Linked DNA regions of Lonchura striata. The protein of the gene in region 1 purifies or fractionates together with the protein of each later gene. This does not show direct contact. Links are inferred from orthologs where the notes say so. Each region holds a gene or a part of one and is shown on either strand. Other genes may lie near its edges. The genes, in order: RNF114 and PARP12.

Region 1 (8,632 bases):
TAAACACAACTTCCAAAGAAACCTATAGGCATAGGTAAAGGTAAAAGCCTTGGTTCCCACGTGTTGATCTACATGAAACTGAGTCTAAGCAAGTAGAAAAATGGGGCTGACAGGGCTAAATGTCAGAGACCATGATACCAAAGGACTGAATGGCACAGAAATATCAAACCAGGATTTAAAACTGAGATAGGATTAAAGTCTTCTATACTTCTGGATGCCTGAGTTAATCTTGGGATGTGCAGGGAGAAGTGCAAGGATGCTGGGCATTTCCCCCTCGTGGAAGCTTGGGTTTGCAGGAAATCTTCTGGCTGGATCACTTATCCCGCAGAGAGCGCATCAAAACCTGTGCCATCATATCATCCTCATCAGCATCGTAGTCCTGCAAGAGGCAGAAAGGCTTTCGCTGCAGAGCCATGCTGCAGTGCCGTGGCAGCAGCAGGAGCTGCAGGCCCCTGAGCCCTGGGCACGCCAGGGATGGCACAGGGATGTGCTGGGGTGGCACAGGGAGCTCCAGGAGCCCCGGCTGCGCTGCCAGGGGGAGCCAACACCTACCACAAAGGTGTCGTAGGAAAAGCGGTGCCGCCTCTGCAGGTGCTCCATGAAGTTAGCACTCCTGTAATTGGGGTCCCCCCACGGCATTGAGGCACAAATTGGGCAAACCTTCAAAGAAAAAGCCAGTTAGGTCCAGTGCTTCAGTGCTTAAACGCTGACAGCAGAAGGGAGGGACAGCCCTGGGGGAGTGGAGCTCAAGGTTTGTGCTGTCACTGCTCTCCATGCAAAGTGATGGCCACTGACTTGCTGGGACATTTACTGAAAAAGCCTCAGATAACCCTGAGTAATTCTAATTCATGTCTTAGATTCCTGAAATGGCATGGCTTACTCTTCTCCCATGTTCTGAAAATCAGAACTCATTAAAGCCTCCTGCTTTAGAAGATTTCATCCTTTATTTCACCATGCAGGAAAGTTTCCTTGGTCTTCTCTACAAAGTTCACTTCTTGCCAAGAGAAAAAAGGAACTTTATTTTCCTGAATTATCTCGAATTCCAAAAAACTTCCCAGAAAAATGAAAGTTTCCAATTCAATTCCACGTTTTGCAATTCCTCTTACATAAAAGGAAGTATCACAGATAGAATGATACGCTATTTTTCACAAGCATTTCTCCTAGCAGTTAATAGTATCTTCTTGCTGAAAACAAGGGGGAAAACAAGGAGAAAATTAAATGTCTAGTATTTTTTTAAATTATATTTTACTGCTTTGCTGTGCCTAATTCACTTTGAATGTGTGCCATTTTTCAAGGATGAAAAGAGGATGTGGCCCAGCTGCAGTGCAGAAAGCCACTGAAAAGTGAGAGCAGAACCACACCAGACTTAGAGGCATGACCAGCACAGCCACACTGACTGAACAGCAGAAATTACACCTACTTAATTCAAAAGTCTCTAACTTACTGTTTCAAAGGGCTTTAAGACCAGACTTAATTGCAATTCTTGCACCAAGACTTTTTATTACCACTTGTTTTGCATCCATGCTGTGCAAAGCTTTGCAGTGCTCAACCAGCCCTTCTTGATCAAAGTTCTTCTCACTGCAGTACGGGCAGGGGAAGGTGAAGCGATTCGGGAAGCTCCTGGTTGGGGAGAAAAGGTTATTTACAAATACAGATTATTCAAGGCAGTAATTTATGTATGCAATTAATTTAGCAATCGGTTTGTAAACTCCTAACAGTATTTTAGGGAACTCGGTGTTTAGACTGAATTACAGTTTTTCTGCAAATGTTCTAAGTGCCATTTATCAGTTTTCTCCAATGCCAGGGCACCACTCACTAGTCACCAATTCCCACTTCCCTCCTCTGTGGGCGAGTACAATCAGGAGACCAAGGTATTTTAGAAAACAGCTGCACCTACAGAATGCCCTGTTCTTAGAGGTGTCCAAGCAGAAGCAGCAGAATTTACCTGGGCACAGCCAGCTGCAGGATCAAGGCTCAGTTTTTAACTCCATAAAAATCAGCACCCAAACTGAGCAAAGAGGTGAAGTCTGCTTTTACTTCCAAACTCTTTGTTGTGCCAGAGAAGGGCAGGATTGCAGAGCAGAGGCATTACCTGGTGCTGTGGAGGGGCTCTTTCGTCACAGCTTTCACACCTTCCATGATGTAATTCTGGTACTTGGAGCAGGAGGCTGCGTGGCTGCGCATCTTGGACAGGTACATCTGTGCAGGCAACAACAACACAGCAGGTGAGCTCACAGCACCTCCTGAACAAAGCAGCAAACGTGTAAAGCCAGCAGCTTTCAGCACAAGAGGTAAAGCAGGAACTCCAAATACCTCAGCTGGCCAAGCAGAAAACGTTTGAGATTACAGATTAGTTAAGGTGTAACTCTGCTCTCTGTGGTATGTCACCATGCACCCCTGCTCACAGCAGCAACATCCCACTGTAACTTTATAATCAGAATCTTTCATTAGAAATTCATTTCCTGAAGAGGTAACAACAAAAAACTGTGGAAAGAATGTCAACATCTGTGTGCTGCCTATATCAAACAGCTTTAGCACATATCAGAACAAACACTTTGACCTGATTTTGCAGAAAGCTGAGGAGGAAGCAGTTCATCTTCCCCTAGGGGGACACATCTCATGTACTGAATTTCCAAACGCTTTCATACTTTTTTATTGCAGCCGTTGCAAGTGGTTTCTGTAGTTTCAATTTGCTTTTCCAAGTCCAGAGCTCTGCTCCCAGGCGACAGGGTGCTGCGGCACACCCCACAGACTGGCTTTTTGGGCTTCAGACATTCCTGCAGGCACGGTGTGCAGAAGCTGAGGCGGGAGAAAAGGAGGAGGTGGTGAGACAGCCCTCTGGGCACCCGCAGTGCCTGCTGCCCTTGCACAGCTCTGCCCAAAGGCGTAGCAGGGGCTTGAGACTGATAAAGATGGGTAAGAAGGAGCTGCTGGCTCCTGGGCATGAGGGATCCCAGGCTGTCACACCCAGAAGTGTTTACTGTTGGACAGTGGTCTGTGCCCTCAGCTTCTGGACAGAATCATGGAACGGTTTGGGTTGGAAGGGACCTTAAAGTCCGCCCAGTGCCAGCCCTGCCATGTCAGGGACACCTCCCACTGCCCCAGCTGCTCCAAACCGCGTCCAGCCTGGCCTGGGGCACTGCCAGGGATCCAGGGCAGCCCCGGCTGTGCCAGGGAGGGATTTCACCCCCGCACCCCGCCTCAGCCTGCCCTGCGGCGGTGAGAGCCGCTGCCCTCGTCCCGTCAGGGAAGCGGAACAGAAGAACGCAGGCTTCCTTTCCCCCGCTTTTCTTTCGCTTTCTCCCTTCAAGGCCGCCCCTGGCCCCGGTGCCGGGGCACGGAGCCGCCCTCAGCACGGCGGGGCCCGAGCGGCGGCTCCTCCGCATCCCCCGCTCCCGCATCCCCCGCGGCTCCTCCCGCATCCCCCGCTCCCGGTCCCGCATGCCCCGGTCCCGGTCCCGCTCCCCGGCGGCGCTCACACGTGTCCGCAGGGGACGCGCACCGGGCAGTCGAACACCTCGAGGCACACGGGGCAGGTGAGGCGGGACAGCGGGTCCGGCCGCCGCTCGGGGGCCCGCGACGGCCCGCCCGCCGCCATCTTCCGCGGGGGCGGCGCTGCGCACGCGCGGCCGGGCCCGGCGGCGGGCGGGGCGCGCCGGGCGGGCGGGGCCGCCGTGCCGGGCGGGGCCGCCGGGCCCGGGAGCCGCCGCCGGGCCCGGGAGCCGCCGCTGGGCGGGGCCCAGCCCGGCCGGTGCAGCCCCGCTCCGGCACGCCGTGGCCCCGCCGGCCGGTGGTGTCACGGCCCCGCCGCCGCTCCGCCGCCGCTCGTCCCCCCGCAGCCCGCGGGCCGGGCCCCGCCCCGTGACGTCACGCGGCGGAAGCGCTCCCGCCCCGCCGTTCAGTTCCGGGCCGCCGCCGCCGCCGCGGCCCTGCCCGAGCCGTGAGCGCGGCGCGCTCCGTCCGCGGCACCGGCCGGGCCTCCGCGGCTCTGCCGGGCAGCGCCTCCGGACCGGGCACATCCCGGGCGCTTCCGCCGGAGCGGCGGCGGCTCCCGGCGGCGGAGCGGAGCGGTGAGGGACGGGGCAGGCCGCAGAGCGGGGGCTTGGCCGCGGCGGGCGGGCGGGCGGCGGGGCGGCCGGGGGCGGCGGGAGCTCCCGGTGCCGGTACCGCCGCGGAGGCCCGGCCGGTGCCCGGAGCTCCTCGGCCCGGTCTGCAACAAGTGTCCCGGCCCCGGCGGCGCGGGCTGCCCCCGCTGCCGCCGGTTGCGGCGCCGTGTCCCGCGGCGGCACCGGGAGCGCTGGGCGGAGGGCGCACCGCGGGACAAGCGGGCTTCGCCCCGTGTGCCCCCGCTGCCCCTCGGGTCTGTGGCACCGGCGGGGCAGCGGGGCCGGGGCCGCTGGCTCCCGGGAGGTGTGCCCCGGGCACGGTTAGGAACGGTCCTGCCTCAGCAGCTGCACCGCGCTCCGCTCGGCAGCCGCTGCTCGCGCAGCCCCGGCAGCCGCTGGCCTTCGGCGGAGCACCTGCAGCAGAGCGTTCCTCCGTGCCTGCTGGCAGCCGGGAGCTGTGAAACCTATATTTATCCGTGCTGCTCGCATCGCGAGCTCTCCGCAGCCCGTAACCATGGATGTTGCTGCTGGGTGGGCTGCGGGCACCGCGAGAGGCCGGGCCGCCTGCGGCTCTGGGCTGGAGCAGCCCTGGCACGGCTGCCAGGCTGTGCCATGGCTCAGTGCTGTGCCCTGGTTCAGCTGCCAGGCTGTGCCATGGCTCGGGTGTTGGACTGTGCCCTGACACATCTGCCAGGCTGTGCCATGGCACAGTGCTGTGCCCTGGTTCAGCTGCCAGGCTGTGCCATGGCTCGGGTGTTGGACTGTGCCCTGACACATCTGCCAGGCTGTGCCATGGCACAGTGCTGTGCCCTGGTTCAGCTGCCAGGCTGTGCCATGGCTCGGGTGTTGGACTGTGCCCTGACACATCTGCCAGGCTGTGCCATGGCTCAGTGCTGTGCCCTGGCTTGGCTGCCAGGCTGTGCCATGGCTCGGGTGTTGGACTGTGCCCTGACACATCTGCCAGGCTGTGCCATGGCACAGTGCTGCGCCCTGGCTTGGCTGCCAAGCTGTGCCCTGGCTCAGGTGCCGGGCACGGGGTGCAGTCAGGGCTGCCACGGGCTCTGGGAGATGCAGGACCTCCCTGAAGGTCTCTCCCGTCACCGGGGCCCGCTGGCCCTGCCGTGTCTCACGTGTCGCCAGGCGCTCTGCTTGGTGGGTGTTGGCAGTGGGGATGGCAGGGCTGTCGTGCTGAATGCCGGCACAGGATCGCTCCGTGTCCTGGGGGTGTTGTGCTGGCGTGCTAGACAAAGATCTCTCTGCAATTCTCGCGTGCAGCTCTTCTTGCCAAGGAACAGGCTCTGCTGTCTTTGTCCGCAGACTTCATCCTGCACAACTTGCGGAGGAATGTGGGGAGGGAAGGCACTGCTCCTGGCCCTTATGCTCAGATGTTAATTTAGCACTCCACATTTCCTGTGATTCACAGCCTGTCTCTTGACAGGAGTGCGTGTGCCTTGGAGGAGAAGCAGAACTGCTACTTAACTTTCCCCACACGGGGCTGGCACTGAGCACAGCCTTTCGTGGAGGGATGTTAACTGCCAGGCTGTTGATTTTGTTGTTTGTTTGTTTCCCTGGCCTCTGGGTTGTTGGTGTTTTGTGTTTTGGCTCCTTTCCTTCAGTTGGTCTTGCTCTTAACAAGTATTTTCCTGCAACGCGAGTGTTGATCGGTGTTCCAGCAGCTGCAGTTGATACAGGGTGGAAAGTCTTTTCTGAAGTGCTGTTTGAGACTGACTACATCTGAAACAGTGCACTGACTTCTCCCAACTCCTCTCCCCTGGGGTCGAGAGCTGGTGCTGGTTTGTCTTTTCATGTAGTAAATAAAGCCTGTGGTCTGCTTTGTGATCACAGGTTCCTGAGGCATTGCAGATGGAGTCTTTTTTGGCCTGTTAATTACCCTGGTTCTGGTGAAGCAGCATTTGGGAAATTCTCTTGTCACCAGCTATTTCAGCTGTGTGAGCTCAGTGCACTGAAAATGCAGATCAGTATATCCGTAAAAACAGCTATCCCTGTAAACAAAAGCATACTGACAGAAGCACAGCAATGGTTTTACTCGGTTCCCATAACCAGCTGAAGGTGGCAGGTGTAGCTTTGTTGCCAAAAGATCCCAGTGGTGTTTGCAGCTGCCAGCTTTCAGCTGGGATTTGGGCTGTGGTTTGCAGCAGTCGGGAGTGGGTCTTCTGGAGGTGGCTGCGGAGCTGCCCCAGCTTGGAGGTACCAGCAGCAGGAATGTCAGTGAAAATGTTAGAAATCAAAGGGCAAAGTCAGTAAACCTGCTCAGCCTAGGGACAGTCCTGTGCCACAGGAGGCGAGGGGGAAAAGCAGATCCTTTCACAGAATGAGCAGAGTGGGCAGGGACCTGGAAAACGAGCGGGGAATGACGTTGGGAAGCAGGATGGTGGCATTCCCGTGGATCCTGTGCCTTTTCAGAGTCCTGGGGAGGCTGTGAGGGAGCTGCAGCTCTGTGAGGGGCAGGAGATGTCTGGGCTCTGTGCACCTGGGATGACTTGTGTTTCTTTTCAGTCTTTATTCCAGGACAGTCGCCATTGCTGGAGATTCCTAATGCCAGCTACCCAACCCACTGCCAAATAACCATGAAAGAGAGGAGGTAGCTGCCCCCAGCGTGAGGGAAAATCTGATTTCAATGGATACAAAATACAAAGACGATTTATTTAGGAAGTATGTACAGTTCCACGAGTGCAAACTGAACGCCTCTGACAGCAAGCAGCGTCCTATTAACGATGAGTACTTGCGAGTGGCAGCAGCAGCCTTACTTTGCCTTCCCAAAATTGATCCCTTTTATAGATTCCGGTTGATAAAATTTTACGAGATGGCTGAAAACTCACTGAGATCTGTGAAATCCTCAAGTTTACATTGTCTCCATAATGCATTCAACATGCTTGAGACACTTGGAATTAATCTCTTTCTGTACCCCTGGAAAAAGGAATTCAAAAACATTAAGGTAAGACTTTTTATGTAGCCATAGTGAGAACATGATCTATTTTTCTTTCTGTGAAGGCATTTCATTCGTTCCTTTGAAGGCTTCTCTTTTTCCCATTTATAGCATTATATATAAATATAGATATACAGTTGGTAAACAGAAGCCATAGGAAAGTTCCTGTGTAAAATAAGTGAAGCTTGTGCTGATGAGAGTATCCCCAGAGCAGAAGTACAAGCACTTTCTGCAATGAGAATGTGTATAAAGTAGAAGAGCTTATTTAAGGTTGTTGTTCAGCCTCCCCTGCTGCACTGTTTTATTTCTGCTTGGAGAGGCTTTCACTGTGGTGGGTGGTCAAGCTGGATTTATTCAAGCTGACTCAGAGTTTGACTTGTCTTGCCACAGCTGTTACTGGACACAAGTATTAAACCCAGGGCATGTGTTCAAGTGGATGCTTTGCCGAGGTTTCCACAAGTTGTGTGATAACAGTGAAGGAACTTTTGCAAAAGAGTTGTTTCCAGAATATCTTTGATCTGCTTGTCAGTGCTCAGTTCCTGATGTTTTGATTTTAAGGTGCTTTCAAATGCATCTACCTAAGGCAGGTTCCCAGAGGGAAAAGTGGGATGTCACTGCTGGGCTTGGGTGCTGCAGTCCCATTGGGAGCTCTCTGCAGTTGAGTTTTGTGTTTTATCTTTTGCCTGTGATGGGCAGACTGCTCCTGCCTGCACTCAGAACAGGCTAAGCACATCCCTCAGGTGCTGAGGGCATTTCAGCTTGCAGAATCTCATGTCTCTGCTTTTGGGGATCTTTTTGTGGGAGTTTTTCAATCAATATTAAGTTAAATAAAACTGACAGTTGAAACTGTGTAGTAACTACACAAAGAAGAGTGCACCTCAAGCATATTTAAGGCTGAATTAGAGTTTGACACTCTGCAGTAATTCTGATTTCCTGTTAGCTGCAGCTTGTCCCTGCATGGGGTGGTTCCCAAATCCTGACCTTTTTGCCTTTCATGGCAGGCTTTCTGTAAATTCAGAAATTCATGTCCGGTATGCATTAAAGTTAATATAAGTGCAGAGCAGAATGATTTAAATCACCAGGGAGGACATTATGCAAATCAGGATTTTAAATTGAATGAAAGCTCTCCTACTTTGAATTTCCCTCATGTGGAATTTCCATCTGCTGAGCAGGAGGGATGCAGAAATGGAGCTCATCTTGCCAAGGCAGTTGCATGTGTTCAGAGTCGTTATTGTTGTATTTAATTATACGGTCTCTGTCACTGAATTATCCGAACATCCAGTCCACCGCTGAATTTGTAACCCAGTTTTCCTTTTATTCCCCCCGGCCCTCAGACCTACACTGGACCCTTTGTTTATTATGTCAAGTCTGCTCTAGCGGAAGATGACGTGAGGCAGATTCTGAGCTACATGGGCTACGTCCAAGAACTGGGAACGACGTTTAAGCTCAAAGAGCAGGTCGACGCCATTCAAGTGAAAATGATTTCATTCGAGCTCTTCCTGGCCAAAGTGGAGTGCGAGCAGCTTCTGGAGATCCACCTGCAGGTGAAGGACAAGGGTTATTCCGAGGTGGACGTGGT
Region 2 (9,442 bases), on another chromosome or scaffold:
GCACTCTATTTCTCAGGAACCACTCTTGATTTCATTTGTCAAGACAAAGACCTTTGTCAGTGAGATAGGTACAAACCAAAATGTAAATTCAGTTTTCTTAATGACACCAGCAAAAATATTAAATTCACTACCATGACTCTTCTGATGAATTCAAAAGATCATGTTATTTACCTTTGCATGGTGAAGATTTGACATCTTCTATGTCATACATGTTTCTGTTGCCATTTTTTATGTCATACATGTTTCTATAAGTGGAAGGTAGTTTCTTAATAATGTCTGAGCTCATCCCCTGTCTCTCCAGTTTCTCAAAACATTCTGGATTTAATAAGTCATGGGACCGTTTGCAGCTGCTGCCAAATCTGCACTGACCCCGCAAAAAGTACTGGCAAACATGAAGTTTGGTGCAAGATGTTTTAAAGGAACAAGATCCATGAAGTCCATCACCTTTGTTATAATGCAAGCAGACCTTGGGAAGGAGAAGAAAAAAAGAATTTAAACATCAAAGTACAATGTGCTTATTTAGACTATTTGAATCCATTATTTGGCTACAATGTGCATACATTTGCTTTTGACAGAAACATTTCTTCTTTCTTCTTGTTTTCCAAATGACTGCTTGATAGCTTTTCCTTTGCCCTGCTAATGTTTAGAAACATTCTTACAGACATTCTCAAGATGGAACTTAGTGCTAAGTCACACTTCTTCGATTTTCTAGTTTTGGAATAGTTTTGGAATCTTTTTCATCCCAACTTGATGGTAAGACATACTGGATATGGCTGGGATGGAGTTAACTTTCTTCATAGCAGACCATACCACACTATGTTTTGGGTTTGTGACCAAAACAGTATTGGTTTGGTCTGTTTGGGTCAGTTGTCCTGGCCATGCTCCCTCCTGGCTCCTCGTGCACCTCCTCACTAGCAGAGCATGGGAAGCTGAAAAGGCCTTGACTGAAAGTAAGCACTCAGTGGGTTAAATCCAAAATACAGCCCTGTTCATGATACCAGTAAGAAAATTAACTCTACCTTAACTGAAACCAGAACAAATAAACACCACACAGCCTCTCACTCCCGCCCTCCAGGGTTGAGGTAAACAGTTTATATGGCATAAAAGGAAGAGGAGATAATAATGATAAAACAATAGACAAAACAAGTGATGCACAATGAAACTGCTCACCACTCACTGACCAAAGCCCAGCCGGACCCCTCAATGTACCACCATCCCTGGGCCACCTCCCCTCAGTTTCACTGTTCAGAATTATTTCATATGGTATAGAATATCCTTCTGTCCAGTTTGGGTCAGCTCTCTTGGCTGCATTCCCTTCCAGCTTCTTGTGCACTCCCAGTCTACTGGCTAGCAGGGCAGTATGAAAAGCTGAAAAGTCCTTGACTTAGAGCAAGCACTGCTCAGCAAAACCAAAAACATGAGTGTTATCAACATTGTTCTCATCCTGAATTCAAAACACAGCATTGTACCAGCTACTAGAAAGAAAATTAACTGTATTCCAGCCAAAACTAGGAAATAGTCCAAATTGGCCAGAGGGATATTCCATGCCACATAATGTCATCCTCAAAAAAAAAAAAAAAAATAGTGAGGAAAGGGACAGAGGGAAGGTGAAAGAAGGGGGAGATGGGTCCTTCTTACAAGGTAGCACTTGCTCAGAGACTTGTTGGGCTCTGAGGTGGTGAAGCAGAAGTTCTCTTTTGCAACACTTCTCCCTGCTTTCCTCCCCTTGCTACAATGTCTTTATCTCCATTCACAGGTTTTGCCACTTTTTTTCTTCTAGTTAATGCTCATCTCCTCTGCTTGTGGTGGGGGAGTGAGGAGTGGGTGAGGGTCTGTTCAAGAGCTTAGCTGCCAGCTAGGGTCAATCCACCACAGGTGAGAACAGAGGATGCAGATTTATTTTTAGATTTGCATTAAGCTAACTAAATTGACACTCAATATCTCCATCTCTGTAAAGCCTCTTCCATATTGTCATGCCCACTGAAACACAAGGCTAAGAAGCTGTTACAGTAATACTCACCTCTGGTAAGAGGGAAGGGTCATTTTGAAGCAGAAGCTGGCAAAGTTCATCATGGTTTAAATTCTCAAGTCCATATTGCTTTAGAACACGGAGATTGTGGTCTGAGTGGAAGCTGTGAACAAACCTGCATCCCTTCCTAGAACTCAAGAAACCGAACAGCAAAATGACTGGCATATTTTGACACCCCATGGGCATTACACTGAAAGCTGGAAAAGCACACCAAATTAGCTCGTTTCAGAAAAACCCACATTGCTCTTCTATAAAGCCATTATGTAATTTGCAAAGCAGATTACATAATTATTCTGAGGATAATTGCCACGCTGCTTCTGATTCACAGTCATTATAGCCTTAGTGCACTCTGACAATATCGGCATTTTGGACCTGCAGCTCACAACCACAAAACCACCAAAGCTCCAGAGCATCATCCCCTCTCAGCCCCTGAGTGCATCACCCAGGGTCCCGCAGCACAGGGATGTGCGGGGGGACACTCAGCTTTAGCACACTGCCCAGGGTCCCGCAGCTCAGGGATGTGCAGGGACACTCAGCTTTAGCACACTGCCCAGGGTCCCGCAGCTCAGGGATGTGCGGGGACACTCAGCTTTAGCACATCACCCAGGGTCCCGCAGCACAGGGATGTGCGGGGACACTCAGCTTTAGCACATCACCCAGGATCCCGCAGCTCAGGGATGTGCGGGGACACTCAGCTTTAGCACATCACCCAGGGTCCCGCAGCTCAGGGATGTGCAGGGACACTCAGCTTTAGCACACTGCCCAGGGTCCCGCAGCACAGGGATGTGCGGGGACACTCAGCTTTAGCACATCACCCAGGGTCCCGCAGCTCAGGGATGTGCGGGGGGACACTCAGCTTTCCCCTGGCACAGCCCTGCCCACGGACAAGGAAGCGCCAGGGTGACGAGCCAGGGAGGAAGTGCTGCGACCCAAAGCTATGAAACAACCGCCTGTGTCTGCCTCCTTTGCAACAACACACGCACAAATAAATTGGGGTGCTCACGGCCAGCGAGCATTTCCACGCGGAAAGGCCTCTCCTGATCGCTCCACGCCCTGCCCAAGGCCGAGCCCCCGCCATGGCGGCCGCGCCCGCCCCTCACCTGGCCAGCTGGTTGCGGCAGAAGCCCTTCAGGTGGTACTTGCAGATGTGCAGCTGCCCGCACTGCCCCGGGCAGCCCGCGACGTGCTCCGGGCACAGCCGCACGGGGCTGGTGGCCACCACCACGGCCACCTCGGCCTCGGCCGCGGCCGCCGCCCGGCCGGGCCGGCGCACCAGCGTGAAGCGCTGCGCGTCCCGCAGCACGGCCGCCAGCTGCTCGGCCGAGGGCCGCGCCGGCAGCCGCCGCCGCAGCTCGCCCTGCTCCAGGCAGCCGCCGCTAGCGCACAGCACCCGCAGCGCCTGCACCGCCAGCGCCATGGCCGGGAAGCGCCTCCCGGGAAAGCGACGGAAACGGAAACGAAAGTGAAAGAGCCCGAGAGGAGCGGGACCGCCTCGGCCCGGGGCGTTCGCTCTGCCCCCGCCGGGGAGCGCCTTGCTGTGGGTGATGCGGCGCACGGACAGCGGCACCCGGCCCTGCTCCTCCCTCCTGTGCCTGGCTTTCAGGATGTATTGACCGTGTTCAATCACATGTCACCAAAAAGGGATGGCAGCTGGGTGGTCACACATTCCCTATAGGAAAAAGCGGACCCAGGGATGAATGGAGCATCAGCCAGGTGATTTAACCTTAAGTTACAGGGAGAAGGCTGGTGTGTGAATTCTGCCGTCAAAAACATCTCAGTTAAGGTTTCTGACCTGTGCCACTTTCCTGACGATACATCGTGACGGCTGCTCTCACGCTTCTTTCAACATCTAAATTAAAAGCTCGGTCATGGTCACACGTGTAGGCACACTGCCCTGCCCTGCTTGCAGTGCTCGTAGTGGCACCTGCTACACGGTGGTACACCACTGCTTCTGCCTGCACAGCAGCCATGGCACCAGTGCGGCCAAGCAATGTCCTCATCCTCTGGGAAGTCACAGACTCCTTAGAAGGGTGCCCTTCTTTTAATTAAGTGCCTTTTCCTGGGTCGTTTTGACACTCCTGGTTCTGCATCACAGTGTTATAAATGGTTGTGATCTGTGCTAACAAAATCGTAATTATATCAATAAATTTGGGAAAATAATTGGAAAAGTATATGTGATTAGTGTTATGAAGCAGATGGGAATACATGTGGGAAATAGGGTGCAGGAGTTGGATTTGGCATTGGAAATGGAGGAAGTCAGGAACTGACTCCCAAACCAAAACTGGCATAAACTGAAGTTAAAAGACAACTCCCAGAGCAAGATTGACCTTGAATATGAATAAAGCTGGGACCATTCCAGACAGGGAGTCTAAAATAGTGGTCTTATCTATGAAATAAATGAGGTTTAATTGGAACATAGTGCTTACTTGTATAACACCAAGATTAATGTGCATGTGCCACCTGCCAGGTTATCCCAGAGGACATGTGAGGAAGACCTTCAGCCTTCCTCCTAGAAGAGCCCTGAAGAGACCAAAAGACCCCATAGCAACAATGGGAGCACGCGCTGTGCAGTAGAGTGATGTAGATTTCAAGAATGAAAAATGGGAGGAGATTTATGGAACTATTGATGAATATGTATTAGCACACAGTATATACGTTGTGTTTGGATCCTTCGTATGGGAGGCAGGGTAGAAAGTCCTCCCTGTACCCTGGTCAGTTTTGCTTATGCTTTATCCACACCACTGCCAAATTTCTTTTTGTAACTACTGAATTATATTTGATTGCATTATTATTTTATGCCTCAATTAAAATTGCTGCTAAATTTTAAATCTTGTGGTTTATTAAATTGGACATATAGGGACCAAATTTAAAACAACAGTCACTCAGAAGCATGCTTTAAATGGTGGCAGAACAATGATGCTAAAGTGCCATCATTTCAGTCAGACTAGCAGTGGAAGCCATGGGGACTCTCACTGATGGTGGTTCTCATCGAACAAGAGTCCTGTCTCCTTTCTTCTTTTGCCAGTCTAGTTGTGCCTTTCCCCTTGCCTCATCTTACTTCCTGCTTGCCCTGTGAGATCAGGAAGGAAATGACAAAAAGTAGAATCTAGAAAAGTGCACTGAATGGAAAACCAGCTCTACTCAGCCAGAGTACAGGTACTCTTTCACAGAGATCTATCTGTAGCTTGCCTGTGACAGGCCATCAACAAATGTTTAGGAGACAACATGAGAGGCTGGAGAGTCACATGTTCTGTGGAAGTAATTCCGTAGATTGGAGTGTCTTTGTCATCCTTTCTTCCTTAAGACAGTCTTTCCTTGAGGGGCAGACCTGCAGATGGTCACATTTGTCACTGACGGTCACCTGGTGGTAAGGCACTTTAAAGAGAGAGATCACACACCACTGATAGTGATTGACAGTATCACAGAACAGTTGAGGTGGAAAGAGGCCATAGGAGGTCATCTGGTCCAAACCCAAATCCAGCTGTTTCATCACTGAAAGAGAATATGGGTGGAAGCCTCCTTATTTTGCTGTTTTGTCTAATGGTCTTAAATTACTGGATAGATGCATTAGATAAGTGCCCCATCAGTGGGAGATATCTTGACTGAACCAAAACTCAGGGAACACTTTAGCATAAAAAACATTGAAGCAGCATTGTACTCAATAACTCTAATTCTCCCTAGCATCTATTTACTTTTTCTGACCCAAAATCCATCCTATCAAGCCAGTTCCCAACTTTTTACATCTTAAAGATCTGTCCCAACATCACTGTACAGTCCAGGTAGCTGTTTCAATTGTATCTTCCTTTCAGAGTTTCTTTCCTCATGCATCTAAAAAACCCCATTCATTTGGCAGAAATATGGTGATTTTTTAATGATAAAATTGGTATGAATGACTATGCCAATGTCAACATTATGTAGAGAGGAGTACCAAGAAAGAAGAGCAGTGTAAGATCAGGGTTGGAGGGGTGATTTCAGGTAGCTTTACACCATTGCAATTCATTCCAAAATGTTGGCATGTGTATCACAGGGAAGTTCACATGGCTGTTCCTGCTCTGCAGGAACTCCTGAGTGAGTTTTTTTGAGGCTGTGGAGTAGAGCTATAACTCTGTCTCTTTCTCATGGAGAACAAAAGTAAAAGTATGAAAACAAGCAATGATTGATGCAGAGAGAGGGTTTGCAGAGATGCCTTTGAATTACAGCACCTTCCCAAGTCTGAATTCATACCCAAAATAAATCATAAATTATTCTTTCTCACACAAGTTTCTTGTAGCTTGTTTTGTGGCATGTTCCTCAGGAAGAATAAAAGTACCCCTTTGATTTGATACAACTTCCCCACCTATGAATTATATATAAGCAAAATTGTACTTTCTTCTTCAGAAGAAGAATTATCAGCTAACAGAAAAGTCAATTTTAATTTATAAAATTAACTGCCATTAGCCATGAAGGGCACCTAAGGAAAGTGGCTCCTCTTCATCTCTCAAATACTGTAATTAAAGGTAAGGCTGTTTTCTTAAATGTCATTGTAGCATAATTGCATATGAGCTGCTCTACCTGCAGTAATGACTGCTGTGCACATTGGTCCTGAAATAAACTCCCTCTAAGCAGTTCCTAAAGCTTCTAAACAGCTGCTGAACTCAGACCACATGGGGTTTTCATAACTGTGGGACTTTAGGTACTGCAATTTTAGTGAGCCACCTTTGTTAAAATCTGATGTATTGCGCTATGAAAACTTTACTTTAGAAATTAGCAGATGTCAGTCATTAGACTGACATCTTTATTTTTAGGAACAATTTATGGATAGTTGTGTTAATTTGAACTGTGGCATCATTTCTTAATCTTGTTTGCATCAATATTCAAAATGTAGTAATTTAATGATTTTCCTGTGAATTTTCATATGCATCTTTAAAACATCCATTGTTGCTAGGTGCATGATGCCTCCACTTCCCACCCCATCCACGTATTTCAGTCTTCCTTCCAGCTAGCATGGTGAAACTCCTGGCTTTGTATTGTCTGTTGTGGGAGATGTAAAGAAAATGGGCAGAAGAAGACAGAAGTGTGATATGTTTGCTTGCAGCTGTTTTTGGTTGCCTGTCAACCTACATTTAAACACACAATTGAGGGTTAGTTGTTGTCCCACTGATGGTCTGGCAACATAGTTAAACACAGCTAAACTTTCCATTCTTTTGTCTGCAACTGGCTGGTTTATTATGGCTTGTATTTGCTGTTCATCAAACACATATAATTTATATATGTTCCTTTTCTGGGTTAAATACAGGTGTCCCATCCACCTTCATCAAAATGGGTAAAATTTTATTCCAAATAATTGATATGTTGGGATTCCACATTTAATTTGGTCTTTGCTCAGATTTGTTTTGATTGTTTTATTTGAAGGCCATGCAGTCTTTGGTCTTGTATACGAAGGCCATGCAGTCTTTGGTCTTGTATACTTGTAATCAGTTCCATCAACCTATTATTTCTGTGTACTTCTCTAATTTCTTCACCTACAGCTAGTGTTTCTGAAATCTGTACTAATTGACAGCATATGGACCTTACAGCTACCATCCCAAGAGTCTCCTAGTGTCATGTTAACCTAAAAATCAGCCATCCCACAGGTAACACATGCACCCACAACTTGAAAGCAAGTAACAGGAAACTCAGTTCTGTTGCAGTATGTGAAAAGCACCAGACTGTGGGGCTGTTGGCTGTCCCAGGGATCTTGCAGACTCTGCAAAGAGCAGGATAAATCCTCATTTTTTGCTCTTGCCTCAGGATACAAATGTAAACATATATTTTCACAGGCAAGCACATAGTCTGGGCAGCATCTAGGACGAATTGTCTGTTTTATAATAATAAACCAGCCTAATATAATATGCAAAAAATTGTGTTGCATACAGTTTGGTTAATTAGATAAGTTTCAAGAGGTCTTGCTTGTGAAAATAAAAAAAAATTGGGGCTGAAAATTCACTCTACAGTTAATGATGCTGTTATTTGTCACTGGCACACTTCTAGTCTTATTCTGTTGAACATTTTATTGCTTGTGCCACTGTAAATGTCTGTTTATTGTGTAAGCCTTATGCTTTTGTTCTTTTTCATACTCTCAAAAAGATAATGTGTTCACATATACCCATAATCTTGTACACTGGCTTTCTCAACCTTTCAGAAACATCTTAAGAAGCCTCTTTAAATCTACAGTGATCCTCAAATGAGCAGTAAATTGGCCGAAGTCAGAAGCCTATTGCTGATCTTGCAGCAGTTTTTCCTGCATTTGCTACTGTATTATCCACTGTCTGTATTATCTACAGTTTTAACAAACTGAATCTCAATGTGTCTGTTAATTCTTCCTTTAAGCATTCCACTTTCAGGTGGGAGTGACCTCCCTGTTGACAGATAGTGAACATCAACTCTATTTTCATTAACGTAGGAGTTGCCACCAAACCGCTTATCTTTGTATGATTTGCTTATCATGCATGCAGACCTAACATTTCAGACCTAACTTAACTGTTTTTCAAAGTTTTTTCAAAGTTTCTTGGGAGTAAAAAATAAAAAGTAACTTGTCAGGGACCAGGACAGTTACTGAATCCTGTCACATTTCATTCTGCACTGCAATTAGCAACAATACAAAAGTTGCCCTCATCATGTGGTGTTTCATCCTCTGCTGGACAAAATATGAAATTCCATTGGTAAGGATTAACCTCTATCAGCTCTATGAAGAGATATGTTCATGATATCAGGCAATACTTATGAATGAAAATGCTATGTCTGCACGTAGTAGCTCAAAAAACCCTTGCTATATTATGGCTAGATGGTTGTCATTTTTATAAGGTTAAACTGATTGGGAAAAAAAAAAAACAAAAAAAAAACCCAACTTAAAACTGCTTTTGCAAGAAATCAGAAACTTCCAGCTTTATTTTCCAGCTGCTAATCCCTACTTTTCGTTGAAACTTCCTTGTTGCAGTGAAAACTCCCAAGGTTGTCTTGTGGCTTTTTCTTCTATGAGTTAATTTTCTTTTCTCTGTGTTCATCAGCTAAATTCATAAATGTTCGTGCACTGACACATCACCCAGGATGTCACCATGTATTGATTTGGAGACCAGCAGCAGCTATTTGTGGTGGCACGGGATAAACAGGAGGAGCAAAGGATTTCATCAAAAGCAAGCAACAATCAGCTGCTTTCAAAAGCTTCTTGCAACAATGTACTGGATGTACATGTTGTCTTAAATATCTGCCTAAGATTAACAATTCAAACAGAGGCTTGGTAAAGGGAGACCACTCTTGGAGCACATTATACTCAAGAGTGTATAGTTTAACTGGAAGTGTAGAAGTGAAATGGGAGTTTATTCGGAGATATTCATCAGATAAAGGACATTCTGCAGAATAGTGCTTCCAGTAGGACCAAAGCCAATATGATCTCTT

The links.
Region 2: the proteins of RNF114 (region 1) and PARP12 purify together in Homo sapiens (affinity purification with mass spectrometry; 3 studies listed by BioGRID and IntAct, counting the BioPlex papers as one, with this or other methods). This does not show direct contact. The link is inferred for Lonchura striata from reciprocal best matches to the Homo sapiens genes RNF114 and PARP12.

What each region holds. Positions count from the first base shown.
Region 1 is NC_134619.1:874,070-882,701, reverse strand, and holds the start of RNF114 (E3 ubiquitin-protein ligase RNF114), read right to left. Parts: upstream 3,622-8,632; 5' UTR 3,599-3,621; coding exon 3,480-3,598; intron 2,800-3,479; coding exon 2,649-2,799; intron 2,200-2,648; coding exon 2,093-2,199; intron 1,621-2,092; coding exon 1,506-1,620; intron 661-1,505; coding exon 553-660; intron 380-552; coding exon 314-379; 3' UTR 1-313. Other genes in the region: SPATA2 (spermatogenesis-associated protein 2), read left to right, coding at 6,745-7,062, 8,388-8,632. UniProt on the Homo sapiens protein: E3 ubiquitin-protein ligase that promotes the ubiquitination of various substrates. In turn, participates in the regulation of many biological processes including cell cycle, apoptosis, osteoclastogenesis as well as innate or adaptive immunity.
Region 2 is NC_134607.1:18,971,219-18,980,660, forward strand, and holds the start of PARP12 (protein mono-ADP-ribosyltransferase PARP12), read right to left. Parts: upstream 3,455-9,442; 5' UTR 3,447-3,454; coding exon 3,130-3,446; intron 2,163-3,129; coding exon 2,021-2,162; intron 467-2,020; coding exon 172-466; intron 1-171.